Linked DNA regions of Nothobranchius furzeri. The protein of the gene in region 3 purifies or fractionates together with the protein of the main gene of each other region. This does not show direct contact. Links are inferred from orthologs where the notes say so. Each region holds a gene or a part of one and is shown on either strand. Other genes may lie near its edges. The genes, in order: rpl7l1, noc3l, pes, ddx27 and wdr12.

The links.
Region 1: the proteins of pes (region 3) and rpl7l1 purify together in Homo sapiens (affinity purification with mass spectrometry; 4 studies listed by BioGRID and IntAct, counting the BioPlex papers as one, with this or other methods). This does not show direct contact. The link is inferred for Nothobranchius furzeri from reciprocal best matches to the Homo sapiens genes PES1 and RPL7L1.
Region 2: the proteins of pes (region 3) and noc3l purify together in Homo sapiens (affinity purification with mass spectrometry; 3 studies listed by BioGRID and IntAct, counting the BioPlex papers as one, with this or other methods). This does not show direct contact. The link is inferred for Nothobranchius furzeri from reciprocal best matches to the Homo sapiens genes PES1 and NOC3L.
Region 4: the proteins of pes (region 3) and ddx27 purify together in Homo sapiens (affinity purification with mass spectrometry; 4 studies listed by BioGRID and IntAct, counting the BioPlex papers as one, with this or other methods). This does not show direct contact. The link is inferred for Nothobranchius furzeri from reciprocal best matches to the Homo sapiens genes PES1 and DDX27.
Region 5: the proteins of pes (region 3) and wdr12 purify together in Homo sapiens (co-immunoprecipitation; 7 studies listed by BioGRID and IntAct, counting the BioPlex papers as one, with this or other methods). This does not show direct contact. The link is inferred for Nothobranchius furzeri from reciprocal best matches to the Homo sapiens genes PES1 and WDR12.

What each region holds. Positions count from the first base shown.
Region 1 is NC_091742.1:28,213,549-28,219,579, forward strand, and holds the start of rpl7l1 (60S ribosomal protein L7-like 1), read right to left. Parts: upstream 4,154-6,031; 5' UTR 4,090-4,153; coding exon 4,076-4,089; intron 3,774-4,075; coding exon 3,665-3,773; intron 3,099-3,664; coding exon 2,935-3,098; intron 2,113-2,934; coding exon 1,975-2,112; intron 1,901-1,974; coding exon 1,791-1,900; intron 344-1,790; coding exon 135-343; 3' UTR 1-134.
Region 2 is NC_091756.1:51,138,013-51,143,477, forward strand, and holds part of noc3l (nucleolar complex protein 3 homolog), read right to left. Parts: intron 4,273-5,465; coding exon 4,068-4,272; intron 3,953-4,067; coding exon 3,826-3,952; intron 3,439-3,825; coding exon 3,284-3,438; intron 3,193-3,283; coding exon 3,124-3,192; intron 1,516-3,123; coding exon 1,385-1,515; intron 1,306-1,384; coding exon 1,144-1,305; intron 1,053-1,143; coding exon 959-1,052; intron 887-958; coding exon 711-886; intron 607-710; coding exon 478-606; intron 395-477; coding exon 263-394; intron 8-262; coding exon 1-7. UniProt on the Homo sapiens protein: May be required for adipogenesis.
Region 3 is NC_091757.1:45,265,525-45,270,683, forward strand, and holds the end of pes (pescadillo), read right to left. Parts: intron 4,554-5,159; coding exon 4,464-4,553; intron 3,408-4,463; coding exon 3,277-3,407; intron 3,193-3,276; coding exon 3,067-3,192; intron 2,786-3,066; coding exon 2,601-2,785; intron 2,498-2,600; coding exon 2,355-2,497; intron 2,284-2,354; coding exon 2,116-2,283; intron 1,879-2,115; coding exon 1,804-1,878; 3' UTR 1,540-1,803; downstream 1-1,539. UniProt on the Homo sapiens protein: Component of the PeBoW complex, which is required for maturation of 28S and 5.8S ribosomal RNAs and formation of the 60S ribosome.
Region 4 is NC_091743.1:76,918,659-76,924,743, forward strand, and holds the start of ddx27 (probable ATP-dependent RNA helicase DDX27), read left to right. Parts: upstream 1-2,231; 5' UTR 2,232-2,459; coding exon 2,460-2,543; intron 2,544-3,020; coding exon 3,021-3,170; intron 3,171-3,244; coding exon 3,245-3,304; intron 3,305-3,376; coding exon 3,377-3,545; intron 3,546-3,884; coding exon 3,885-3,931; intron 3,932-4,006; coding exon 4,007-4,093; intron 4,094-4,222; coding exon 4,223-4,328; intron 4,329-4,493; coding exon 4,494-4,667; intron 4,668-4,751; coding exon 4,752-4,902; intron 4,903-4,966; coding exon 4,967-5,066; intron 5,067-5,173; coding exon 5,174-5,315; intron 5,316-5,389; coding exon 5,390-5,543; intron 5,544-5,741; coding exon 5,742-5,823; intron 5,824-6,085. UniProt on the Homo sapiens protein: Probable ATP-dependent RNA helicase. Component of the nucleolar ribosomal RNA (rRNA) processing machinery that regulates 3' end formation of ribosomal 47S rRNA.
Region 5 is NC_091742.1:74,277,257-74,283,456, forward strand, and holds the start of wdr12 (ribosome biogenesis protein wdr12), read right to left. Parts: upstream 4,048-6,200; 5' UTR 3,922-4,047; coding exon 3,881-3,921; intron 3,580-3,880; coding exon 3,485-3,579; intron 2,848-3,484; coding exon 2,750-2,847; intron 2,660-2,749; coding exon 2,553-2,659; intron 2,482-2,552; coding exon 2,366-2,481; intron 2,293-2,365; coding exon 2,138-2,292; intron 2,063-2,137; coding exon 2,017-2,062; intron 290-2,016; coding exon 204-289; intron 120-203; coding exon 1-119. Other genes in the region: nop58 (nucleolar protein 58), read right to left, coding at 6,057-6,113, 6,189-6,200.

The DNA.
Region 1 (6,031 bases), on a different chromosome or scaffold from region 3:
GTCTAGTCCAGGAGTTACCCTTTAGTCCAATCACGGTCCCCACCCTGAATATGTGGGTGGAATTAAAAGTAACCAGTCATTGTTTCTGCTGATCACTTTAAATCTGGTCCTTAACGTCCCCGTTGTGTCTCCGATCAGTTCAGCAGTCTGATGATGGAGTTTATATCCGTCCCGCGGAAGCCCGGGTCCCCCACGTCTTTAAGGAGCCCGACTTTGTCCTTGGCGGCGTGACGAGGCACCGACAACTTGAATGGCAACAGGAAGTTGTTGGCCGCCCGGAAATTCTTCCCAACTGAGTAGATTTCATGAATCAGGTCTTCTAGACAGATGATGCCGTGTTTACCTGCGAGACGAGAGGAGAGCGAGTGAGCAGCATGCTGAGGACGGAGGAAAGACTCCGAACCACAGCCGTCCCTCATGTAGGGCAGCGGCGTTCACCCCCGATCCTCCAGGAACGCCGGCCTGTTCTCGTTAATCATCAGTGAAATAAATAAATAAATAACATGTTTGAACCCAAACGGACCAGGCTCTACTACTGAAAACACGAAAACCATAAAGAACCCTAAAAATGAAGCATGTTTATTTTAGATTTGTCAACAACAACAATAATAGTAACACCAGCAGGAGGCAGTGGGCTGGATTAGGATGTAAAGAGCAAATTGCAGTTTATTTTTTTATTTCATGTCTAAACAATACTAGCTGAAACACTTGGGAGCATTTTGTTTTTCAACACGTAACGGCTCATTTTTTGGAGTGAAGCGGTGAAGCTTCTAAAAACGCTTTTATTCCTCTAAATGTTCACCTGCGACCACCTCAGGAGGAGTCGTGTAACAAAGGTGCTTTTCTTTCTTTCCTTCTAAGCGAGCCCGGCCTGAAGCTCAGTATGGCGAGTAGGTAGTTATGTGGTACAGCGGTGTGTGTGTGCACTCTGGTACAGCGGTGTGTGTGTGTTCACTAGTTCTGAATAGTGTGAGGAGGCCGTGCAAACTCCAGCATGTCTGAACATCTAGTCTACGGGTTTTAAATAAGAAAGACAACGGCGCCATCTTGCTGTCTGGATCTGTTTTGTGCTGCTGAAAAAGACGAGTCTTCTGCGTGTGTGTGAGTGTGTGTGTCTCCTTGAGGTGATGGAGAATAAAAATCAGGCCTTACTTGTTGCTTACCAGAAACAGCGATCAGTCTTGTTCTTGCAGCTTTAAGTAATCTATTACTCAGTTGATCGGTTACGTTACACAACTCTAGTAGATCACTGCTGTTGTGGGTTAGCGGACCAAGCATCACCTTCTGGAGGATTTTTATCCTGGTAAGTTACAGATGGTGTACGTTTTTATACATCACTTCTTTCCTTCAACCGCGACACACACACACACACACGCACACGGACACACACACACACACACGCACACGCACACAGACACACACACACACGTATTGTTGCAGGGCTGAAAGAACTTTGAGAACCAGGTGCTTTTGCTGGTAACTCTGTTGTCCTGTGGGTGGACGTGACCCAAGCTTATTAATGTTACTACTACTTTTTTACTTGATGTAGTTTTGAAACCAGTACTTTTATAATTTGACTTGAATAAAAAGCTTGAATTGATGCTTGAACTTCTACAAGTCCTTTAAAACCCTCGTGTCTGTACCTTTACTTAAATAATGAATGCAAGTGCTTTTGACGCGACTGTCCTCTAGCCTGGTGAACCATCCGCAGCGCCTCGCTGTGTGTGTGTGTGATGTGTGTGTGGTGTGTGTGTGTGTTCCCAGCTGGAGCTCAGGGCAGTGTGACGCACCCATGTGCTGCTCTATGAAGTTGTTGTCTGTCAGAGGAACCCTTCTCCTGCCGATCCTGGTCTGGCCTCTCTTCAGGACGAGCTCCCGGACTGACTTCAGGTTGGGATATCTGGGAAAGGTAGTGTTCATCACCCAGAGCGACACAGAACCAAACCTACCGACCCAGCAGTCAGAAAGCCTCACCCCCACGCCACGTAGGGCTCCACCATCCTCATCATGGAGACGGACGTCTGGTTGATCTTGATGAAGGCTCCGCTGAAGATCTTCCTCAGCCTCATCATCTGGATCACCTTCATGACTTTGGGGCTGACACCTTTGACCCTGCCAGAACCAGAACGTATTTTTTACTTTTTATTAGACTCCAAATCACTTGGCACATTTCTAATTCATAATTTGTAAGAATGTAATCGACAATATTAGCATCCCTATGGGTTTTTCCATGTATATTAGCATTGGGCTAACCACTCGCTGCCAGTCAAATCGCAGCATTTGCCATTAGAAAATCTCCCTAGAGCCCATTTACTGACATGGAAGTGAAATCTGCAATATATCGTGAGATTGATTTTAGGCCGTATGGCCCAGCCGTACAACATGCCGATATATATCACCATTACCATACATTTGCTATGTTTTGAGCTATGTTCGGCGTCCCTGTTCACCAACGTCAACAAGTTGCCAACCTTGCCAGTCTCTATACCAGCTGATCTCAGCAACCTGGAAACACACTGTACAGGTGGAGAGGGAGAGTGAGTGAGTAAATGGTAAATGGCCTGTATTTGATATAGCGCCTTCTAGAGTCCTGGAGCCCCCCAAGGCGCTTTACAACACAATCAGTCATTCACCCATTCACACACTGGTGGGGATGAGCTACGATGTAGCCACAGCTGCCCTGGGTCACACTGACAGAGGCGAGGCTGCCGAGCACTGGCGCCACCGGTCCCTCTGACCACCACCAGCAGGCTAGGTGGGTTAAGTGTCTTGCCCAAGGACACAACGACAGCGACAGACTGAGCGGGGCTCAAACCTGCAACCTTCCGATTACAGGGCGAGCTCTTAACTCCTGTGCCACCGTCGCCCAGTATGTGAGAGAGAGAGAGAGAGACTGCCCTAACCACCACGCTCACCCGTTGGACAGACACTCACATTCTGATGCGAACAACGAAGGCCAGTTTGTTCTTGGCCGACGGCAGCGGGGCAGGTGGCCTGTGGTGTGCCCTCTGGAGGCGAGTGTCATCACGATGCTTCTTGTGGCTGTCTTTCAGGAAGTCCTCCAAACGCTTGAACTTTAAAGGCTTTCCTTTTGAGATCTACAGAAACCAGGAGTACAGATTAGAATCAGGAACACACACGTTTGTCTTTCATGTGTGAGGACCAGCGCTGAACTAGCCCAGAACCTTTGAGGTCCAGAGATGGGACACTCCCACAGGCTTCGACAGAAGGGATGGGAGGGAAATCCTGAGGGTTTATATTAGACTTTTATATATTTGCACTAAAGCCCAAAAGTGAAGAATTTGTCATTTCAGTGTTTTACACACACACACACACACACACACACACACACACACCACAGCTGGAGAGATTTTTAAGGGAAACACTGTATTTATTACTTGATTGTTCAAAATATCTCCCAGAAGTGATTCTTTTTTAAACAGAATTGTTGAATGATAAAATAAGGTTAATTAAAGAAAAACTAAAGAACATTCTGGATCTGTTTATTTTTTTACCGAATGTATCGGATCGGGACTCATATCGGCAGATTATCAAAAAAATCAAATGACTCGGATTCCTGGGCAAAAGAACTGATCGGGACACACACACACACACACACACACACACACACACACACACACACACACACACACACACACTTTACCCTTCTCTTCTCCAGCAGAGCTAGCTTAGCCTGGGTGGCTTTGATCGCCTGGTAGGTTTTCCTTTTCTTCAGGAGAAACTCAGGAACTAGCTTGATCACCTTCTCAGACCTGATGGAAAACCACACAACAACTCAGACAAGAGGAGGCTGTCGCTGTCGGATCCGTCCAGCGGAAACATTTTAACGTTTTCACCGGAACTTTGTAAACCGGCTTCAGCGTCTAAACATAAACACGAACCCATCCATGTGAGACTAAAACTCACTATCGGCGGCTTCCTGGCCGTCTAAGCCACACATACACACCTGAGCTGGCCTGTTAACAGCTGCGCTACATAATAAACATCAGATGAGTTTAATTACAGCTGAAACTAAGGCGGATGCACCGCGATGGCATTGAAAACAGATACATACTCTGGCTCGGCCATGTTGACACCGCGGAGCCGCTTCTTCTGGTGTTAAACAAAGAAAAGCAAAGGTTCACTAGCGCCACCTTCTGGACTGGAAGCGAAGAGCGCTCATTCAGTATCAGCCAATAAAATTGTATTATTATTATTATCATCATATTATTATTATTATTATTATATTATTATTATTATAATTTTATTATTATTATATTATATTATTATAAAAACACATCCTCTAATCTCTGATGAGTAGTCTACTTTGATACATCAGTACAGGATTTAAACTGGGATTACCGTTGACCAGGGGTCGGCTCTTTCATCCATTTGATGCCCATGCGCCTCTCTGTGCTTGTAAAATAATTAATGAATATTTATTTAAAATGTATTTTATTTTACATCATTCTTTTTTATCTGTATGCCAATTTTAAACATCAACATTGCCATCTTTTAAAATTAACAAAAATGATAAAGACCCGAAATTATAATAATAACATAATAATGAAAACAATTTTGCCGGCAGCTATGTGTGTGTGTGTTTTGCACTTCAAGCACCGGTCTAAACAACCTGACCAGTGTGTCCAGAACGTTATAATTAAATTATCTCACTTAGAATGAATACAAACAACAAACAACAAATGTCTCTATAGGAGTTTTCTGAGCTGAAGAGGATATGAGCTTCTGGACTGTTGCCTCATACAGACTCACTCCTCCCACTGAAGCGAGTGTTTTCTAAACCCGGTCTCTCAGAGAGACTTGTCACTTAGAAAATGTTCCCTGGTTACGAAACTTTGGCTGAATAGTGCTTGTTCCTGTCTCCAATGTGGCGACCTATGTGTGTGTCGATGGTGGTGACGCATCCATGAGCCTGGCTGAGGCAAAAGTCCAGAAGCTCGTATCCTTATGGAGATATTTGGTGCAATAACATTTGTGTTTTTATCCCTGGGAACTTGAAGTCACAGAGAAATATTTAGAAAAATCACATCTTTCACAGGTACAAAAACAACAGATACACCAGTTCAAAATATTGGGTACAAGTACACAAAATGCATGACTTCAGTCACACATAAAAAAATCTTACACTCACAGTTTGTTACGGAAATTTTATATTCCAGTACTTTAATCCTATTAACTAATGTATTACCTTATGCCTGAAAGCATTCACACACACACACACACACACACACACACACACACACACACACACACACACACACACACACACACACACACACACACACACGTAGAGTGGTAAATGAAGTGCTTTAAGAGCTCTATATATTACCTCTACTTATGACCAATAAGCTGTGATACTCTAAATATAGAACATCAACCTGCTCGGTCTTTGGATGTTTACTCAGAAGATTCTGGGATTCTTTGTTTATTCAGGGATTGTTGAACACCGTCTTGATTCAGGAAAGAGTCGGGTTTATAAAAAGGAAGAATTTATTTTCCAAACAATTAAAACATGACACATTAACCAATATTTACTGTGATGGATGGATCTGGGTGGATGAGATGTGGGGGTAGGTCGGGTTTTCACAGCATCTGTCTGCATCCCTTCGTGGGGGTTTGTTGCTAGCCTCTCAAGGCTGTTATGGCGTCAGATTCGGATGACAAGACGTTTTTTGGGTCAGGCTGAGATAATTTTCCTCTCTGCCTTCAGTCTTTAAACTGATCATTCCAGTCCGACAGTGATGCCAGTTTGGGTTTTTAAACTTGTCCATACAGTAATACGCTATGGGAATGACAGCAAAAGCTAACAGTGTAGATCATAATTGTGCAAACACAGATAGTATTTAATGGTTGTTAAATCATGTAAACTTTAGTTTCCTATCACAACGTGGCAACCCACAGAAACTGCAGTAACCACATCTGACCACAGGAGGTCACTGTTACTCATTTCTTATATAGTTTACCTTTAACAATAACAAAGCCAGAGACTAAAGGTGAGTTTCCAACCTGG
Region 2 (5,465 bases), on a different chromosome or scaffold from region 3:
TTTTCCACTGCACACAAACACACAGACTTGTGTTTTCTTACTGCCCTCTTGTTGGTAAAGGGATGAGACTCCGATTCTAAGAATTCAAACAGATCTGTTTATCTGTAAATGACTGACATTCATTTATAATCGGAGTTCTAGATCGTCCTGAGCCAAACGCACAGTAAGTGACCCCAATGTGACCAGCAGACTCTGCACTCATCAATCTCTTTGACTCCCATAAGTCAAAAACAAACTGTGACTGAACACCAACAGTGTTTACCTTCCTCTGCATCCTGGATAAGTTCTTCTTCTTTTCTTTGTTTGTCATAAACCTCTTTTTTGGTGCAGAAGCCTCCAGGTCCTTCTTCATCTCCACCTCCTTGATCCTCAAACTGAGCAGCGTTTGCAGCACCTGAGGGGGAAGAGGAAGGACTGAGACCAACAGTCCTGAATGAAACTGAATCTGGTGAGGTTCGCGTGCATTTCGTTTGGTACCTCAGGTCTGACATTGTAATTTAGGCTCTTTACAAGGCCAGATATAACTCGCACAGTGGCCAGAGAGGCCACGCCCCCTTTGTCCTGTTGGAACAGCTTCTTGAATGCGTCACAGCACATGTCAGACACCTGTAACAAACGCTCGCCTGAATCACAGCACGCATCGTTGTATGCATCTACCTGAGCTTGTCAGACTTGTTCGGGTGGGTCGGCACAGGTCCGGCATGTCTCACCTTCCTTGTCGGGTCGTTCATCAGCGGTACGAGGATGACGACGATGTTGTTGTGGAAGTTGAAGTGTGGCAGAGCCAGCAGCAGCTCACTCAGGCAGCGCACGGCGACCTCGGCCAGACTGAGATAAGACTGGAGGCCTACCGCCTGGCTGCGTTTCCTCTTCTTCTGCTTCCAATCTGAGGAGGACGGTGAGCTGTGAGTCTGTGTGAGTGGTGAGGTGAAGCGGTGTTGCTGTTGTGGTGGTATACCTTTGATGGTCTGCTCTAGATCCTCCAGGTAGAACTTATACTGACTCACCAAACCTTCCTCGAACTCTCTGAGCTGTTTTGTCTCCTTCTTCACCTGCAGCACAACAAACCAAAGGAAACAGTTTCACCACAAACACCTCACAGGACACACTCGTCCAGGACAGACGTGGATTAATCGTAGCTACCTTGACGCTCTTCTCTTCAGCAGTCAGAGGTCGTATTCTGTAGGTGGGAGCAATGTCTTTAAAGATCTCCATTAGAGAAACCATCACCATCTTCCTGACTGAGACCGCCACGCTGGGATCGGCCTCCATCAGCATACCCCGCAGCTCCTTCACACACTTCATCTGCCACACATCACATGACCACCACAACTAGCATCAGTATCATCCCACCAGTCTAACCTGAGACCAGTGGCCCACTTACATTGTTCATGGGGTCTGAAATGATGGCTGACGCCAGGTTGGCGATGCAGTGCTTCTTCCCGTTTAACTTCTGGTTTCTAAGCTGCTCTCTTTGCTCTGGGGTCAGTCCCACGTAACACGATGATGCCCCCTCTGCACAGGAGGACACCGCAATCATAAACACTCCACACAACGCATGAAAAATCACAGAATAGCTCCTTAATCAATGGTGCTTGGTACAGAGCTGAGACGACAGCTAGAGTCGCTCATCCACACTACGGTGGATATTTTTATTTTTACTGCTGTTGCAACGGCCATCCTTATCCGGGTTTGATGAGCAATCACTTTAGATTGTTTCAAGAAAAAAACTTAGCTACAATGCCAAATCCGCAAAACAAGCTGGCTAAAAATATTTTTTCGAGACTCCTAACAGCATTTTAATATGAATATGCTATAAATATTTTGCAGAGAAAATAAATAAATAAATGAAGCGGCTCTTTTGCATTTTTCCAAAAAAACACGGCTCGGTCCACATACATACATACATGCGTATACATACAGACATGCGTATACATACATACATGCGTATACATACAGACATGCGTATACATACAGACATGCGTATACATACAGACATGCGTATACATACATACATGCGTATACATACATACATGCGTATACATACATACATGCGTATACATACAGACATGCGTATACATACATACATGCAGGTTTTGGGAAGACAATGGAATTTATTTTAGAGAATATATAATGAGCACCGATTATTTTACTAAAGGTTTACTCAGACCATCTTTGTTCACCATCTACCAAACTTCTGTGGGAATTTGTGTTTTTTCTTTATTTCAAGTTTTTCTCCTTTGAAAAGAAATGTACACAAGAGCAAAAGACATCTGTTAAATTTGAGCTTCATCTGTTTTGTTTCCTACTGAGACAGTTGAAGGATTATCACGATTTAGATTTTGTGTTCATTGATTTCTGCCACACTCTTCTTACGAGGGCGGTCTTCAGGCAAGTGCAATGTCAAGTGTCGTTGTATTCCTGTAAAATGGCAATTAAATAACCTTGAATCCTGAAATCATCCACAGCTTTGACCAGAGTTTCAACAATATCGGACCTTTTCTATTGTTCCTGCTTACAGGGTAGCTGCAGGTTTAAGGGAGCCAAATTTAAGACTTTTTAAGACCTTTTTTAATGCCACTTGGACCAAATTTAAGCAATTTTTTTTTCAATTAAATATAAGCTATAATTTCCAGCTATTGCCTGGAACTGGTACTAACCACGTTGTGAACATGGGATTAGCCATCTAGATACCATTAAACTTGCACTTCCCCATGGCGCAAGCTCCCGCTAGCTTAACCAGCTAATGTGCTCATCTAAAAATAGCCCCCTTTCAAAACCAACTGAATGTGTACGGTTCCGCTTACGCCAACATCGTACACAAAAAATGCTGAACACAAACTAGAAATTCACAAAAATTTTATAGAAATAAAATAATCTTGTTTATTGGGTCTTTGGTAATGTAAGACCTTTGGAAACTGTATTTAAGGATTATTTGTCATTTTTAAGGATTTTCAAGGCCTTAAATTTGGAAAAGCAAATTTAAGACTTTTTAAGACTTTTTAAGGACCCGCGGATACCCTGTGCTTACATTGAAGACAGCAACACCCCTTTGCGGTTTCATTTATTCTCAACCCACCGTGAACAATTCATGATCAACAAGTTTGTTTTTTAATCTCTTACCACTTTCCTCCTCATCAGGCTTATCTGCATCATCGTCCTCCTCTTCAGGCTCTGGCTGCTTTTCTACAACTGGAAACAAAAAGATCAGCAGTGACATTTCTGATTACTTACTCACCGCGATCAATCAGCTGATCAGTAACGTGTGTGTGCACAGTGTTACCTCTCTCCATGCTCTGTGGGATGACGCCACTCTTGTCCTTGATTGGCAGCAGATGGATCACCTCCTTCTCCTGCATTTTAGCAATCTTCCTCGGAACCTTCTCGTAGCTGCGAACCACGTCAGAGCTCCGCTTCTTCCCTCCATGAACCGGCCCGCTAGGATGCCCCACCATGCAAAACAAACACACCCCAGTCGATGTCAGCTCACTCAGTCACATTCAGGAGTGCAACCTTGCAACCATAACAGATGAAAGTCATTCAAAAAGTACTTTCAACGACTCCAACAGCTCTGGTTCATCGGCTACTTTAAAGTTTCCAAAGACAATCCTCACATTTCCAAAGTTTCGCGTCATTCTTGTGATTTTTGATCATGCAAGGAGGAGAATCAATTCCCCATTGATTGGGGTGTACAAGAGAAATGTCCATGAATCCATCCAGAAACATCTGGATTTATTTAAGTATAACATATCCATCCGTGTTTGTGTGTTTCAGGCCACTGGTGTGTATTTGTGTAACCATGACAAGAAGTGTTTGCTGTGTCACCATGACGACAGGTCTCTGGTAATGAACGATGCCTTCCGAGCCATGGTGGTCATCTGCTGAAGGTCGTCTTCGTCCATCATGTCTGTCGGTAAACTCTCCAGGAACTCTTCCTCCTGCTCCTCCTCCTCTGTCAGGTAGGAAAAAACAGATTTACCGATGTACGGACTCCTTGCTGCTTGTAACTGATCGTTCCTCATTAACATGGCTGCCACTGTGTCAAACTGGACTGGAAGAAGTCTCACCTGGTCGCTTCCTGTACGTCTCCAGGGGGCGGGGCGTCTGCAGGGTAGAGCCCTTCATCGCCTGCCGCATTCTCTTCTGATCTTTCCGCTGTTTCTTGTCAGCATTCTGCTGCTTGAACTGACGGTTCTTCAGCTTGTTCTCTAGTTTCACCCCGCTTGTCTTTAGCAGGCGGCGGAACGTTGGCCGCCGCTTTTTTGAACGAGGCTGCAGGGAGGGAGAAGGTCACCGTCACAACACAAATACAGCACAATGTGACATCAGCAGAGCTGCTTTAACAACCTCCTGTTAACCTGCCCTTAAGGTCTTTGGTTTATATTCCAGAAATGCATCGCCCATTTAAGGTAGAAAACAAACTAAAAGCACTTAGTTTATTTATTCCACCCTGTCTGCTCCTCATCTTTGGTAAAAATTATTTTTCTTAGATTGTTATTTTGGGATGAGGATCCGCCCAGAACATTTCAGCTGTGGAAGGATCTAGTGTAGGGTGACCATATGTCATTTTTACCCTGGACATGTCCACTTTTCACTCTCTGTCCGGAGCGTCCGGGGGGGGGGGGGGGGGGGGGGTCTTGTATTGATGAAAATGTCCGGTTTTTCATCCAGGAGCAGGGATCGAATTATGGGGGATCCTACACATCCAGGGAGAGCCGGAGAAAACTTTTCTACCTATATTACATCATTCATGGACTTTCAGTGTACCGGGGGTTCTTTTGAGCAGAGAGCACCGAGAGTGGCAGAGCGCTGATCGTTGGTGCGCAGCGCTCCAGGCTGCTGCGTCCAGCACACGGTCCATTCTCAAAGTGGCGCAACCAAAAAACTATCATTAACCCACGATCGTTCATGTCCTCTCATATTCTCTACTTTCTGTCTTATTTGTGCCTGAAGCGCTCTGCTACTGCGGAGCTCATCACCTGTGCTGCGGTGATTTCACCTCACTGACGCAACATCGAAAACAAAACAAACTAGTGTTGAAAAGTAAAATGTAGGTAGATTTATCTCCACTACACGTTTTTACCTGTATAAAACAATACGTTACACACATGTAATATTTATACATCTGATACAAATCAGATCACCTTCAAAACTCAGTCACACACCCAGGGCCGTTTCAAGCAGGGTATCTGCAGGTTTAAGGGAGCCAAATTTAAGACTTTTTAAGGACCCGCGGATACCCTGTTCAAGGCATTTTGGGGGCCAAGGCAAAACAGAACACCCCCCAAAAACTGGGCTCCCCAGAAGCCTCTGTGTAATTCATACTCTGTCCAGGAGTATTAGTTATACAGTGTTTATAAAAGCTCCTCAGACATCGCTGACATGTTCTAACATTATCAGATGAAAAACTAAATTATCAGACATGCTGTCGCATCTGCTGCTTTTCTAAACTTGCAAAAAGTAAC
Region 3 (5,159 bases):
ATAAACAGATGAAATTACTTAGTGCTGGGTAATCCTATTTTTCCAACATATAAAAACAGATTATTCAAGAAAAGCAGCAAGGATAAAACTAGAAATAAGAATAAAATTCCTTTGAAAAGTGAAAGAAACTCACCTTTATGCATTCATCCAGAGAGTAACTAGTAGAAGCCCTTTTTGCCCTGCTGTCCATCCAGCTCCAGACCATAAATGCAAGTCAATCTCCGTCATAAGGCAGTCCTTATATGTGATCTTGACATGCTGTTACAGATGCAGCACAGTTCGTGCTCCTCTTATCACATGTCCAGCGCTGCAGCTCTCATTCATCCTTCCGCTGTTACTCTACTCCCCTCTCTTCCCTTGCGTGCACACCTGATGCCTCCTTCCTCAACTTTCAATTCCTAAACTGATCTCGCTGCATAAAGCGCCGCAGGGAGGTTTGTGCAGCCACCTGTGACGTCAGGCTCCCTGTCAGGGGACGCAAACTAGTTACAGAGTGTGAGGGAGGCAGAGAGCAGAAGAAAGGGGAGGAGAGAGGCTGCATAGTCCCTATTCTGTCTCCATACAGAGGCCTTACTGAGCATGGACACTGAAGTTTGAGCTGCATGCTGATAGGAGGGGGGCGACATAAAGGAGCAAATGCAGAAGTACAGAGCACAAAAGCTTTAATTGTTCTCTCTAATCAAGACAGCTCTGTCTATTGTCTGAAATGCCTGTTTGGCAAGCTGGAACTATACATGTAGTGGGATGAATTTACGCAATAAGGTGTTTAAATTTTACACAACAGATCAGCTAAATACATGAATAGATCATCAGCCTGTAATGTAAAAACTTTCATCTTCAGTTGTAAACAACTGATTTGATCTCTTCTTTACTTAAAAATGATTTAAATCCACCATTTTTTAGACACTTTTCATGAAATCCTAACCTGAGGTTTTCTCTTTGTTAACAGTAATTTCAAAGGATTAAACAAACATTCCTGTCTGAGTCTATTTGCCTCTGCATGACAGGATGTGGCAACATGCAGTCACACGGTGCCTTACCCAGTCCAGCTCACGAGCTTCATCTCTCTTTATAATGTAGTCAGGATTCCTAGAAGACACACTAGATCTTTCCAGCTCATCCCACACACACCATGGTGTAGCACAAACACTGCTACTATTGTGAAAGATGGGAGTGCCTTGTCCCTCTGGTACCAGGCTGAGATCCAATCTGGGTGGGCACACGTGGAATGCAGAGCTGGGTGTAAACGAAGGGGTTAAAGGGAGGACAGTGTGTCAAAGTGAGCAAGGACGAGGAGTGATGTGGATGTCGGAGCTGGCCTTTGGGCCACAGCATCACTTATCCACATCAGAAGGCTGGAGGATCGTCATCAACACCCACCGCTTCAGCAAAGAAGCCCTCGCCCCAGTGAACTAATGTAAACTCTGATGGAAAATATTCATAAATACTGCTGATGAGATGTAAAGCTACAAAGAGATGGATAAAATTAACACGCCACCACAAATTCACTAATTTTCATTACCAAATAATACAAGTAGGTAACTTAATACATCATCTTTTTATTTAAAAATGCAAAAGATTTTAAAGCACAGAAATTAAAATGAAGACTTTAAATGATGCAGAACAAAAATGAAGGGAGCTATTTTTACATCAATTACACAAATATGCAGAATCCTGCTTTTCTGTGTTAAAATATGCAGCGTTCATGCACCGAGCAGGGTTCTCCGGTGCAGTCGCAGGGTTTATCACATCAGCCTGTAACCATTCAACACAGAGTCCGTTTGAAACGAGCGTCACGAGAAGTTATTTTCTAGCCTTCTTCTTCTTTGTTTTCTCAGCATCATCGTGTGCTTTCCTCTTGGCTGCCAGTTTGTTGGCCTGTAAGAAGAGATTGATCAGCGTTAATGAATAGACACTTCACACATGCGCAGGTGCATGAACACACACTCTTCTGAGGTCAGTGACCTAAGAGGTCACTGCTAATCTACTTTTATACAAACAGCAACTTAAACAAAGTGTTAAACATTCTTAGATAAAGATTTATTGATAAAAACGTACAAAAACCTAAAATCACAACGTTATCTACGTGAGAGTTCACACTGCGATAACACCCACCTCTCTGACTTTTCTCTTTTTCCCGAACATGATCTTGTCGTAGAGGTATTTTTCTTTTTTCTTCATCATCATAATAGCGAGACGTTTCTCCTCTGCCTTTTCCTCCTGCTCCAGGCGGGCCGGATTCTCTGCCCTCACTTTTCCAGGTGTGACTTTAACCTGCAGGGACTAAAAGCAGAAACCGGGTCAGATTCAGGACATAAAAGACTGGGTAATGCAAAAATCAAACGTGATCCGACCTTGCCCTGAGATTTTTGCTCCTCCATCTTTTTGAGATTCTTTTCTTCTGCTTTTTCCTCTTCATCAACTTCATCATCACCACCTTCCTCCTCCTCCTCGTCTTCCTCTTCCTCCTCATCATCCTCCTCCTCTTGTTCTTGAGCTGCAACAAAATGAAAAAAGCACTTTTTAAGATTCACTTCAAAAGAAAGATTAATAATTTGACACAAAGACTAATAACTCATAGGTCAGCGTCTGACCCTCACCAGGTTTTTCTCCTCGCTGTAGGGCCATGATCCTCAGCTTCTCTGGGGGAACATAGTCCCCTTCCTTCTCCTCCACAAAAGGAGACAGGTGAGGGGGAAGAGTCACCCCAAGGAAATAGTCCTCCACGGGCAGGAGGATTTTGGCGTTGACGCAGTCGTACACCCACTGGGGCTGGACATAATACCTGAAACAAAAATATATAAAAATACTCTTGGTAAGAGGAAAATTATAATAAAGCTTCTCTTTGTTTTCTCTGATCATGAAATAGTAGTGATGAGAATATCTATTTCAAACTGGGTCACTTTGAGGGAACAGAAAGAGATGAAAAGTGACACTAAAGTAAAGGAAACCGAAGCAGACTTCCTGTAATCAGGATCCAGGTGTTTTCATAAAGAAAAGTAAAGTTCCTGATGCTATTAAATAACCTAAAAAGCTAAAAATGATGGAACTGCTAGATTTATCTACCTGTTGATGTACTGTTTGTCAAAATTGGGTCTGTCAACAATCTGGTGTGTGATGGTCTCATCTGTCACGTCAAACGTGCTCCCAATGCTAACAGACTTGTCCCAGGACACCTGGCCACCAAAACACCTGAAAAAGGGAAATTAAAAGTCATAAAAAAAGAACATCAACAGATTCCCAAAGAGATTTAAATGTCCCGTGGCCGAGCCTCACCGGATAATAAAAGCCAGCGACTCTCTGGGAACTTCTCTGTTCAGGAAGATCTTCAGACCGTCAAACAGCTTCTTCTGAGCTTCCAGCTGTTTCTGTTCCTTCTCTCTGGCCTCCATCTTCTCCACGTCCTCCTGGAAAAGATCAATTAGCACAATCGGCCGCGGGAACAATCAACTGTACTCACCTGAGCTAAAACAGGTAGACGACACAAACATGATATATAATAATCAGCAGAAATATCTCAGATTTAAAACCTTAAACAAGTGTACTGAATCCAAACAGAACTAAAACACACATAGAAAACAAGTGTATGCATCACAAAAACATAAGAAGTTTATTAACTTATAAACTATACAAACTAAAACAAGTCAGCTGACATTCTCAGTCATTTTTGTGATGCGGTCCTGATGCAAATGGACAAATCCAGATGTTTATGTGTTTAAAGTCGCTCAGTGAAACTTTAAATTAAAGTAGTTTTGAGGTCGATTCAAAGAATCTTTAAATGTTTTTCTCTCCAAACTTAAATCAGTCAAAAGGAAAAAGGCACAACCATGAACACATTAACCTCTAATCCTCTATTGTAGAAAAACAGTGTTATTCTAATTAAACAGAAGACAAATCATTAACTAACATTATTAGGCCAATTAATTTTCAACCAAAATAGATTTTGTTGCTAAATTATTGCTTTACGTTTCGATCACGGAGCCTGGTTCATGTTTTATGATCAAAATAAACTATTTAAAGCAGAAAAAAGCCCATAAATCACCAAAACACTAGAACACTAATACAGTTATTGCATGAAAACAGCGGTAAAAAACCTGAATGGGATCTTCTTTAGCTGGACTCAAGTTGTTTCTGCACATGTGCATCCGTGGATCATTTTGCTGTGAGTTCAGTTAAAACTTAAGCTGCTGAACTCCAGGTGAGATCTCTTTTATAAAACCTCCCAGAGGAAACATGGAGCTTTTTCTCTGGCAACTCCAAACCAGTCGGGCAAAACAAGCTTTCCAGGTGAGAACAGCTTGTTTGTAGCAACCAGCCATAAAGCAGTGAATCCCCAGTCACACACTGCATCTCCAAACAGGCTCAAAGAAAACAACTTTTAACGCCAGCTCAGGCTAAAAACTCAGATACCATTTTAAACATTTTCAAAAAGGAAAAATAAAAGGCTTTGTTAATTTTCTCACCCCTTCAGCAGGAAACTGGTCGAGTTTAGCCTCCTCCTCCTCTTCGGTGGAAACCACACGAGCCAGGCTGCCACTCAGAGCTGACAGTTTCTACACAAACGTCAAAATAAAGATTAAAAACTGCTACAGCTACATTTTTACTTATTTAGAACTAGGACAATATATTGTAAATATATCGTTATCGCGATATCAGCATGCACAATATGCATATCGCAAAGAACAGAAAAATATCGCAATGGTCGGCTCAAATGTTTGCTACACATTATGCGTTCTGTCAAACAGAAGCATTGTGTTTTTTTAACAAATCAAAAAGAGCTCATCACCCATTTGGCCAATCAGGTAGGTTCTCATAAGTTAGATGCCCGCCCCCAAGGCAGACAGCACTTCGTTTAGATGGTTAGCAAACACCTGAGTTAGCTTTGTTCTGCTCTTTTTGCCGATTCTGCTTTTCCCGGGATCCACGGATTGCCTTTTCTTGTTCATGTTCTTTTTCTCTTTCCTCACATCTTTTGCTTTTCTTATTTTGAAGAATTTTTTATTTTTGATTATTTTTGTTCCTGAGTTAAGTTTTTATTTATCGCAAGTAATATATCGTCATCATGGGATGCACTGTTATCAAATATCGCAGGTTTTCATAATATCGTGCAGCCCTATTTAGAACAATCATTTGATCTCCCATTAAGTAAAATAAAACAA
Region 4 (6,085 bases), on a different chromosome or scaffold from region 3:
ACTTATCGGCTGCATTTGACACGGTCAACCATGGCTTCCTTTTGTCCACACTCTCTAGCATGGGCATCACGGAGAAAGCACACGCCTGGTTTGAGTCGTACCTCACAGGACGATCATTCAGTGTATCTTGGCTTGGACAATCCTCTACCATGCACCATCTTGCCACAGGAGCCCCCCAGGGCTCTATACTAGGACCTCTTCTCTTTGCCATATACACCACCTCACTGGGTGAGATCATTCGATCACATGGCTTCTCCTACCACTGCTATGCAGACGACACCCAGCTCTATCTGTCATTTCCACCGGACGACCACACTGTCTCTGCACGAATATCAAACTGTCTCTCTGACATATCAAAATGGATGAAATCCCACCATCTCCATCTCAACCTATCTAAAACTGAACTACTTGTCATCCCAGCAAAACCATCCATACAGCACAATATCTCAATCCAAAATGACTTCCCATCTCTGGCTCCTTCAAAGGCAGTTCGAAATCTGGGTGTTGTGATTGATGAACACCTGACCTTTAAAGATCATGTTGCCTCTGTTGCTCATTCATGCCACTTTACGCTGTATAACATACGAAAGATCAGACCATACCTAACACAACATGCCACCCAGCTCCTGGTGCAATCCACTGTCATCTCCCACCTTGATTACTGCAATGCCCTTCTAACTGGTCTTCCAGGCTGTACTGTGAGACCTCTTGAAATGGTCCAGAACACAGTGGTGCGTCTGGTCTTCAATCAGCCAAAAAGAGCACACGTCACCCCTCTGTTCATTGAGCTCCACTGGCTACCGCTAGCAGCACGCATCAAATTCAAATTGCTAACACTAGCATACAAAGTCCGAGATGGTACGGCTCCCATCTACCTGAATCCTCTTGCAAAGGCTTACGTCTCAGCCCGGTCGCTCCGGTCATCACAGGATCGTCGGCTAGCAGTGCCTACACCACGCTCAGGCAATCCAGACTCTTCTCATGCATTGTTCCACAAATGTGGAATGACCTTCCAAGCACTACCAGAACTGCGGCTTCCTTTTCAATTTTCAAGAAACTCCTGAAGACCCTGCTCTTCAGAGAGCATCTTCTTAACTAGCACCTTGCCTGCACATGTCCCCTCTCTCTACCGTCCACTCCTTGTTCCCTCCTCTCCATGAGTGATGTCAATGTTGTTGTTGTTATTGTTGTTGTTAGCCTCAAGGGCAACATGCCGATTATCACAAGTCGCTTTGGACAAAAGCGTCTGCTAAATACATAAACATAAACATTTGATTTATTTTTAATTAAGCGAACAGACAAGGGGTCAGTAACTGGGAAACACTGAGCACAGATTTTTTTTTACATTTTTTTATTATTCCTGAACAAAGACAACAGAACAAGGTACCACATTAAGGTACACACTCTCATGGAGGATGTAAGCTTAAAACAGGCTAAGGGGCTTATCAAAGAAAAAAATAACATAAAAAACAACAGAGCATGAGTTACATAGGAAACTCAAAACAGAAAGTTCTCAGTTAGATGAGAATTGATTCTTGCATTTTTTCCATTTTTTCATTTTACTTAATGAACAATAGAATAGTTTAAATTTGCTCAAAAAGCATGGGAATGAGGGCTTGGTACCCCTCCATTTATTGCAATGGATGTGATATTTGGCTAACAATACAACCATATTGATAGCATCAGAAAAAGTCGCATTCAAGTCCTTCACATAGAACAGAATATCACCAACTTAAAAAAAATCAATAGTAAGTTTGAGATTAATCTATTCATTAATGTCATTCCAAAAAACTCATGAATGTTGGCAATAATAAAACAAATGTTGCAGGGATTCATCTTCTGATTTACAAAAAGCACACAAATCAACATCAAGTTTAAACCTTCTTTCCAGAAACTTAGATACAGGACATATTCCATTTATTATTTTAAAATGAGTCTCTTTTACCTTTGGAGAAACAGGCCATGTTTTGAATATGCAAAAGCCATTGTGACTTCGCAGTTTGTAAACTTCTTCAAATTACTTCTGTTGTAATCATAATAAATCTTTTGTCGCATACCATCATTGATGTTCTTGTTATTACATTTGTTTTCAAGTAAGTTGCAATTATTCACTCTTAACGTAGGTATTGTAATGATCACAACGGAATTTATTATAATGTTTTTAATTAGCTGAATCAGTGCTACTGGGATCGCTTTACATATCTTTTCCAATTCTTTATACCTACAATTAATATAATATTTTTCACTGAGGGATGAAAATTTACACTGAGCACAGATCTTTGCTGTTAGCTGCTTTTATAGGATGAACGGTTTGCTGCTCCGCACCAGCAGGTGGCGCTAAGCCACCAGGAGACGGCACTAACCGGAAATAACAATGAACATTTCCGGTTTCCGTCCACACGTGTGTAACTGAACGTGTGGAAAGATCCTTCAGAACCCGTAAAAACAGAGTTGGAGTCATGTTGGAACAGTTCGGTCTGATCGGAACCATCCGGGACGAGGACCAGAGTCCGGATGAGCCCGACACAGAGTCCGAGCAGGAGGTAGGTCGGTCCGTAACACCGGAGGAGAACCAGAACTTCCCACGGAATCGGTTTAAGTCCCAGGGGCGCGATCAGAACACAAACAGATCAAACAAACCGATGTCAGGTGGGTTAGGGTTAGCTGGGTGTCACGTGACCCTTTCTCACGGAGGTTCTAAAACAAAACCAGGGTTCCTTCAGGTGTCTGGTGTCTTCGTAACTCCATGATGTGATGTCAGGATATCCTCCAGCAGTCTGAGCCTATAGCAGCATAACTAAAGGGATGAGCCAGCACGAGCGTGCAGCTTTAGAGAGAGGACGGTCTGAAGCAGACAGGAGGGTCTTCCCCACCAGAGAGGAGCCTGGAACCTGAAAGCTCTGCCTCCCGTTCATCTGTTAGAACCTCATGAAACCACAAGGAAACATGCAGTCTGCTGGGAACATCTGGAAATAAGATCTTTGATAGATGATTGATTTGTGTACCGCTTTTGTTTGCAGGAGGAGCCGATTGTCCTGAACAGGAAGAAGAAGTTTGGGAATCAAGCATCAAGAGACTTTAACTTTGACTTTGACTTTGAAGAGAGAGATGGGCTGAACCTCGATGATGACTGGCCAATGGCAGATGTCCTAAAGCAGCTCAAGAAGAAGGTAGAATCCGACAGGAACCCTGTTCTTCGGATGTCAGCAGAATGTTCTCCAGCTGAGTTTGTTTCTGTTTGCAGAGAACGGTGACTACTTTGGATCAGAAAATAGAGAAAATCAGGAAGCAGAGGAAAGCTGAGGTCAGTTTCTGGTCCAGCTTCACTTCACCGTTGATTTGTTGTTCATGCTTAATTATATCAGTTTATTTTTAGGAGAAATCCTCCAGTACCACAGCTGGAAGTTCAGTAGAGCCAAAGGAGGAGGATGAGCCTCCTGCAGGAGATGCTGCTGATGATGGTGATGATGGGGAAGAGGAGGAGGAGGAGGAGGAAGACGAGGAGGAGTTTGACTCAGCTGATGAAGAGGTTCTCACCAAATCAGGTGGAATTACTAGAGTTTTTTGTTTTGAGCTGTTTGTGTGAAGATGTGATTCAATCAAGCAGACGGCATTCAGTTAGGGTTTGGGATCGGTCTGGGAAATTTCTGGGAAATGTTTGTTTGCTGAAGGTTTTTGTAATTTTGTGACAGGAAAGCTAAATATAAATGTTCAGGTTTAAACCACACACACACACACACACACACACACACACACACACACACACACACACACACACACACACACACACACACACACACACACACACACACACATCTGACCTGCAGTTGAAACAGACTCACGAGTTTTGGATTTTATGTTTCTCACTTCCTGCTTCCTGTCAGACACCTTGAGGGAGAAGGAACGTCGAGGGAAGAAGAGGAAGGATGAGGTGAGGAGGAGTAGAGGTGGCTCTGATGGGTTAAATGTGCTGCATTACCATAGTAACAACCACATTTGTGTTCAGGCTGCAGAGTCATTTTATGAAGATGCGTCTCAGTTCAACGATCAACTGACCTTTGAAGACATGAACCTTTCCAGACCCATCCTGAAGGTAAAACCCAAACAAAAGGAATTCTAGAGACCCGTGTAGTCTGAACCGATGGTACCAAACCAGGCCGTAGCCCAGATCCAGACCAGTCTCACCAGTATCTGTCCTTTCCTGTTTGTTTTGTTGCTGAAGGCCATCACAGCGTTGGGCTTTAAGGAACCGACACCGATTCAGAAGGCCTGTGTTCCGGTCGGCCTACTGGGCAGGGATTTGTGTGCCTGTGCTGCTACTGGAACAGGTACCGCTGACCTACTGGAACCAGTTAGCTATTCATTAACCCAGGTGGTAGCATGTTAGCTAGATCAGAACAATCCCAACTCACCTGTTCTGTGATCCAGAACCATCCGTAGCTTGGTCTCCTGGAGCGTTCTGGTGTTATGTTATAAACGTGTGGTCTCCTCAGGGAAGACGGCAGCCTTCATGCTTCCTGTGTTGGAGCGTTTGATTTATAAACCCAGGACATCCCAGGTGACCAGGGTCCTGGTTCTGGTTCCTACCAGAGAGCTGGGAATCCAGGTTCACTCTGTGGCCCGTCAGCTGGCCCAGTTCACCTCCATCACCACCTGCCTGGCTGTCGGTACGAACGCCTCCTGGCTGCGCATGGATCAAACCCAGTTCAAACTGGTTCTGGTGGTTTTCTGAACCATGTTGTTCTGTCCAGGCGGTCTGGACCTGAAGTCTCAGGAGGCGGCGCTGAGGGCAGGACCTGATGTCCTGATAGCTACACCTGGCCGACTGATCGATCACCTTCATAACACGCCGAGCTTCGAGCTGAGCCACATCGAGATCCTGATCCTGGATGAGGCGGACAGGTGAGGATTCACATCTGAGGAACGGGTCACAGAACACCGCTCTGATGCTGTCTGGTTCTGTCAGGATGCTGGACGAGTACTTCGAAGAACAGATGAAGGAGGTCATCAGGTTGTGTTCTTACAACAGACAGACCATGTTGTTCTCCGCCACCATGACAGAAGAGGTACGCACCAGGTCACCTGACCCGTGCTTTTGTGGTTCACACCCCTGGTGTTTTATTCGGGTCATATGACTTGTGCCCTTTGCGGGTCATGTGACCTGTGTCTGCAGGTCAAGGATCTAGCAGCAGTGTCGCTGAAGCAGCCCATCCGGATCTTTGTGAACAGCAACACAGACGTCGCTCCGTTCCTGCGACAGGAGTTCGTCCGGATCCGACCACACAGAGAAGGCGACAGAGAGGCTGTGGTTGCAGGTAGGAACCAGTCCTCCTGGGATTGTGTTGTCTGTGGAACGCGTTTCCTTGTACTGAACACTGTGGTTTCTCAGCTCTGCTGACCCGGACCTTCCAGGACCACGTGATGCTGTTCACTCAGACGAGAAAACAGGCTCACAGGCTGCACATCCTGTTGGGACTGGTGGGCCTGAGAGTTGGAGAACTGCACGGCGAACTGAGCCAGAACCAGAGACTGGAGAACCTCAGGTACAATCTTAGTTTGGGTTGTTAGTCCTGACTGTACCGGATGTTCAGAGGTTTTTTTTTGTTGTCTTATTTAACACTTCTGCCTGCCCAAAAAGGAAAGTACACCGGAGCTGAGCGCCGTGACCGCCGTCCTCCATGCTGCGGTGGTTCTGTTGTATCGCCATAGTTTCACGCTTCCTTGTTCTCCGTGTTCTGCAGGCGGTTCAAAGATGAACAGATCGATGTTTTGGTGGCGACAGATGTGGCAGCTCGAGGTCTGGACATCGACGGAGTGAAAACGGTGAGATGTTCAGAAAACCAGCGTTTTGGTTGCGCTTGTTTTTATTGTATCTGGCGTTGGTCAGGCTTAGACGGTTTCATAAAAGGAGTAAAATTTCCTCCAGTCGGGTTAGAAATGTGGTCGTTAGAGCCGTAATATCAGGACCTTTCCTAACGAAGCACGTTTTTCGGCACTAGTTCAGATTCTGAACCTGGTTCCGGGTCCTCCGATCCACAAATGAGCTTCAGAATTGTGGTGAAGCAACAGTGTTGAGATGGTTTTA
Region 5 (6,200 bases), on a different chromosome or scaffold from region 3:
GTCTCAACATCCCACACTCTGATGGTGTGATCCCACGATGCACTGCAGACCTCCTCGTTGTCACACCACAGCACAGAGGACACCGCCTCACCGTGTCCAGATAACGTCATTAAGGGAGTCTATAAGAGCGGGAGATGAGGTGGTACTCCGTTAGCTGATAGCTGGAACCGTGGCGTTCAGATTTTAGTCTGATCTGTTTTTACCCTAGTCAGGCCCAGCTGCTGAGTCTTCTGTTTCTTCCTGGGTCTGTCAGCGGGCTCCTCGACCTCATCAGCCTCATCTGTGGGCACTGGAGGAACAACAGCAGGAACTTTAACCCTTTCTGTGAGTAACGATGACAGTTTAGGTGAGACTGAACCCCTCAGCAGCTGATCTGACTCTGCTACAGCAGCCATGAAGAGGTCATTCTGAATCTATGAAGATGCGTTTTAATCTAATATCAATCATTGGATCAGGCTCATGATCGTCACCACATTGTTAATTGATCAGCACTGGATCATTTCATTATGGTGACTCTGATCTCTATTGTTAATCTACTTTCTATGGTTTTACATCGACTCTTTACTGGGTCAAAGAAAAACTAACAGATTTCATCAGGAGCCAGGGGTGGATTAAAGGAGACCAATGTCCAATAAAAACATTAAAATCTCTCAGCTAGTTTCACTCTCACTCAGGTGAATTTAAAACAAAAACAAGATTAGAAGGGAAAACTCGAGCTTGTCTCACCGTCCTGCAGTTAGTGTTTCTTCAAGAGACCATGTGTAGTTTTTACCATTCATTTCTAGAAATATCCATCAAAATGTTGTTGAAAATGAAAGAAATGAAGTCCTAGCTGGCTGCTTCATAACAAATATCCATAAAAATCAGGTCTAAAACACATGGAAGCGGGTCTAAGTCTATGGGCGACGCCATATTAGATGCCATGTTTCCTTCTACTGGAGCCTGTGAAGACAAAATGCATTTACTGATTTGTAACAAATGGTTACAAAGCTTTCGCCGTTCTTAAATGTTGTTCTTTTACACATTTATCTCTTCACTTGTTGCCAGTGATGGAAGGGAATCTGATGTGCTTGTTATTTTGCTCAAAATTGCACTCCCCATGGCTTTTTGAACCTAATCGGCATCCGTTAGTAAAGTCCTACTTCAACACAAAAATACTGCTTGCTTGCAAAGATTTAGGTATGTACTGCCCCCTATTGCCAGGGAAGGTACACACTGTCACTTTAATCACACAGCTCTAGCTGATGTTTCCAGCTTTACTCCTAAACTCTGTTTCACACATCATTTATAAACATCTGTTGTGCCACATAGTCCGGAAAAAAGAATTTAAAAAGAAAAATTGGGAGACATTGGAACAGATAAAGGAACTTTATGTTTGTCCTTCTTCCCCAGGACAGGGACAAAGATTCCCATCTGGATATTTCTCAAGATTAGCTAATAAAGGATCATAACTAGTCCCAAAAAGGTCTTTAAATGTATGCGTAATCCAAATAGTTAAATTTATCTGGGCCGATGTTAAATGGAATGGGGCCAGAGAGCTGCTGCTCCAAAAGAGTTAACCTCACAACTTGAGATCTGACCAAATGTCCCAAGAAGAGCCAACAGCTTGGAGATCCCAGAAAGAGGATTTGAAATATAAAAGCCTATCATCGGTATAAAGAGAGACTTAACAGTAGATCCCAGATGTGAGATGCTCCTGACACCTGGGCTCAACCTCGTGGCAACAGCCAAAGGCTCCACTGTAACTGGAGAGGTGACAGTGGGAAAACACCTTCTCAGCATCTAGGGAGAGTACTTCTTCATCAACCTTCTGGTCGGGCAGAGCAGGTGTGTACAGCACATTGTCTCAATATTTTGCTGCTGAATCATACCTGTCAACATTTATTACGATTATTTCACTTATTCCATGTCTCATTTTCCCTGCACTGTGTGATATTGTCTCTGGTACACAGGTGATATGTATTTTATAGCTGTAGGTAAGGTTTTCCAGCTTAAATGTTCTCATCGCTCACCCACCTGCAGACCAGATCTTCAACATTTTGTCCCAGGAGCCGCTGCAGAACTGCAAAAGGACACAAACAATCTCAGACACAAACCAAACTCATCTATGAACACTTTCTATTCCCTGAAGCTTTACTTTAGAGCCAGAGGGGTCTGTGGACACTGTGTCGACACTTCCTGTGTGTCCACGACAACAGTGGCGGGCTTTAACTTTGTTCCTCTCAGAGTTCCACTCCCACAGCAGGACAGTCTGGTCCAGAGAAGCCGTCAGGAGCAGAGACGTCAGGCCATCTGGGACATCCATAGAGTCCACATTAAAGTTAATAATAACAAAGAGGGACATCCAAGGTCCCAGTCTGCTCACCTCGTTTGACCCAGGCTATGTCTTTAACAACATCTGAGTGTCCAGCTACGGTCATCACCTGCTTCCCTTCCACAGACCAGATCCTGGCTGTCTTATCATAGGAACCCGTTAGAATCCTGTAGAACGAGACACAGGGACGAGTCACAGGACAGTTACAGAAAACCAGAAGGTCTGGTCTCCATCTTACCATTCTGAGTCTGCATCCACTGAGCTGATCCAGTCATCGTGCATCATGCACTCCTCAGGCTCAGGGGCTGTGATCCGCTCCACATACTCAATCTCCACCACGTCCTCCTAAAACACACAACCATACACGCAGATGAAGCTCAGATGTCAGACTCATACTGACAGCTTTGGTCTCTGTGGCAGGTGATGAGGTCGTACCGTAGATACACCCTCTGCCTCCATGTGAGACGACAGTGGCGTTCGCAGGAACTGACCTTTGACCAGGAAGTCAAACTCCACCTTGCTGTGAGATTCTGCTAAATAAATAAATAAATAAACAACTGAAGTAAAAAATAAAACAAGAATGATAACCGTTTATAAATCATATTATGTGTAATAGTTTAAACTCCAAACTAAGCTGTTATGAGTAGTTTTTTTTTTTTTTACAGTCGACATTTTATGTAGTTTAGCAACATGTTACTTGTGTTTATGGTGTGTATTAGGGGGTAACGTGCTAGTGGTGTGTTATGGTGTCTACCATGTTAAAGATGTATTATAGTCCCCTCAGTCATCATCACACACCGGTGAAATTACATCTCCACATGTGACCCAGCCCTGTGGGGAGCGGCGAGCTGCAGCAGTGGTTGTGCTCGGGAACTATTTGGTGCGTTAACCCTCCAATCCAACCCTTTAAAGCTGAGTATCAAGCAGGGAGGCACTGGGTCACATTTGTTTGTCTTTAGTGTGGCCCAACAAGGATTTGAAAACTGATCTGCCAGTCCCAGGGCAGACATTCTACCATTAGGCCACTGAGAAGGTATGGTGTGTGTACCCTCTCTATAGTGTGTTTTAGGGTGTGTGCACGACGTTTATAGTGTGTTATGGTGTGTGCCATTTCTATAGTGTGTATGAGGCTGTGTGTACTATGTTTATTGTGTGTGTTATGGTGTGTACCATGTTTGGTCTCCAGCAGCTTGTTGATCAGGTTACTGAGGTCCTGCACTTCAGAGGCAGCTGGGATGGAGAACGGGACATCATCTACAACAAACCTGCAAACAAATCAAGGCCCAACAAAACGTTAACCCAACCAGGAGACAGGTTGACCTTTATCAACGATTAAACCCAAACTTCATATTATTAACATTAAAGGAGCTAAAACACACTAAAAGCCCTCTAATCGGTTGCTCACGAGGCCAGTAGGAAGTTGAAAACGTTACGCACATTGATAAGAAGCTCAAACTCAGAAAATTAAACCCTGAATACAAATTTAACACACGTTTAGAGAAAATAGATGCTAACTATTTAGCTAGCCTGTCCGCTTTTACCGCACTACCCCAGAATTAAACTCACCTTTTGTCCTCCGTAAAAAACCTCGCCTGTAACTGAGACATTCCTACTGTCTGCGAGTTTTCTGAGCAGATTAAAAGTAAAGAAAATCAGCTAATATCTGTAGATCTGTAACAACATCCAAGTCAGGACACTGTGGCCATGTGGTGTAGAGGAAGGCTAAAAAAGTCAAACACAGATACAGTCGGTGCCGGGTTCTCTGGATCAGTGCGCATCTAGTACTGCCTGGCTGTTTGTTCACAATAAACTAAAGATTCAGTATTTTCTACGTTTCTATGACGCATGATTCCTTCATAAAGTATTTCTGGAAAACCGAACTCAAAGCTCTATTAAGTTGGGAAAAACAGGTCTGCAAACCTCTTAAAGGCCCCATGTGTGAAATCCATTGAAATCACGATGAAAAAACGCGACCTGCAAAACCTTTAGATCATTTTTGTTAGTTTGTATATTTACGCGGTTTATTATAAATTTATGTGAACTGTCATTGTTTTTTAGACTCTAGATTAAAGAATAAGCCTTGATTCTACTCTTTATTTTTATTTTAAAAAAATTTGCTGCTTATTGTAGAAGAAATTTATATTCAGCCTCATTTAACAAAAATATGATATAGCTACTGTAAAATACGTAGATCTATTAAGCACGGATATTTACTTATGGAGTTCTCTAGTACAGTATCTATTAATAAGTTATTTAAATACCCAGTTTAGGTTCTAGCTTCAGTTTTACTTAAGAACCAACTAAACTGATGTTTGCAACATAAATTTGCTGCACATGACCTGTTAGACTTCCATTCCACAGGTAGGACCATATTTGGTCACATCAGGCAATTTCTCTTAAAAAAAATAATTAGAACAGATTTATTTAATGAATTTAGATTAAAGGTGAATGCCACAAGGTGGTCACTGTGGAGGGCGACAGAGGTAAAAACACTGGTCAGGGGAAACTGGAGCTGGAGAAGGGAAGTGCAGGATATGAGATGCTCTGTGAAGAGTTGGGTACTCTAGAATTTATTGAAGATAGACTGGGAAGCCCCTGCTCTGGTGGCACTCCATGGATCATTCTTCCATCCTGGAACAACTCAGGAGGGGTCAACATGGTCAACACTACTTTAATGAGTGGAGTGAGTGTGAGGCATGAAGTCAGTTTAAAAGTAATGGATTAGATTTATAAAGCGCTTTCCATAATTCACATTTCTGGTGATGGTGAGCTGCTGCCGCCCTGGGGTGGTGCCATCTGCCCTCCTGCCACCAAGACAGGCAAGTCGGGTGAGGCGTCCTGCCCAAGGACACAACAGCAGAGTACCCCGGCGAAGCTGGGGTCGATGCCACAATCCTCCGATCGCTGGGAAACCCGCTCTGCTGCCCCAATATGATGCTTAATGTTTTGCCTGCCTTTAAACTTGTGTTAGATTACAGGTTTGTCATTTTAAATAATACTTACACAAGTTGAAACAGGGGTGGTTCTGGGGGGCACTTGGCCCTCTCTTGCTGAAGGCATTATAAAGTAAAAAGTGACGATTACACCTAATGCGGAACCAACGCTTGTGAATTTATTTATATATAGTAGAAAAGAGCAGTGATGGAGTGTAATTAAGTAAAAGTATTGCCCTGAAGTATTTTTCTTTGAGGCATTGAGCTCCGGAAACCACAAACAATTGTATTAAATATACTCAGGCTACAGTAAAAAAAACTAAAACAAGTCATTTAGGAGCACAGCAGGTTTCACTTCTTCACATTATTCTTTAAATTCAAACCTAAACATTTGGACCCACCTAAAAAACTGAAGGAACTCCTGTTAGTTCCCAGTCTGCTTGAGCCCTGGTTAAAAGGTGAGAAGTTTAACTCGTCCCACCCACTTAAATCTTTATGTTTTAGTGCAAACTGAATAATTTAAGCAAATAAAAACATTTAGTATAATTCTAACTTCATTTATCAGTTGTTTGAAGCTTATTAAGCAGAAAAAGACACAGTTACAGCAGGAAAATCGGTTTATTCCATCAAGGCACAGATTCAGTTTTTAAAAATAAAACACATTGGCTCTTGGCTTTCCAGAGGTTGTTGGATAAAAAGATGACTCTGCTGTTCATCGTGGCAGGAAACAGACTTTTCCTCTACAGGTAAACATTTGGGACAAAAATAATAAAATAATAAACAAAAAATATTTACATAGTTTCATCTCTTCACTCGTCTTCCTCTTCTTTCACCTTCTTTTTCTTCTTCTTCTTCTTTTCTGAGGTCTGGATGATAAAAAGCCACCCGTTAGGATAACATGACGGTGAACGTTTTATTGATCATACGTGTGTGAGGCTCACCTCGCCGACAGC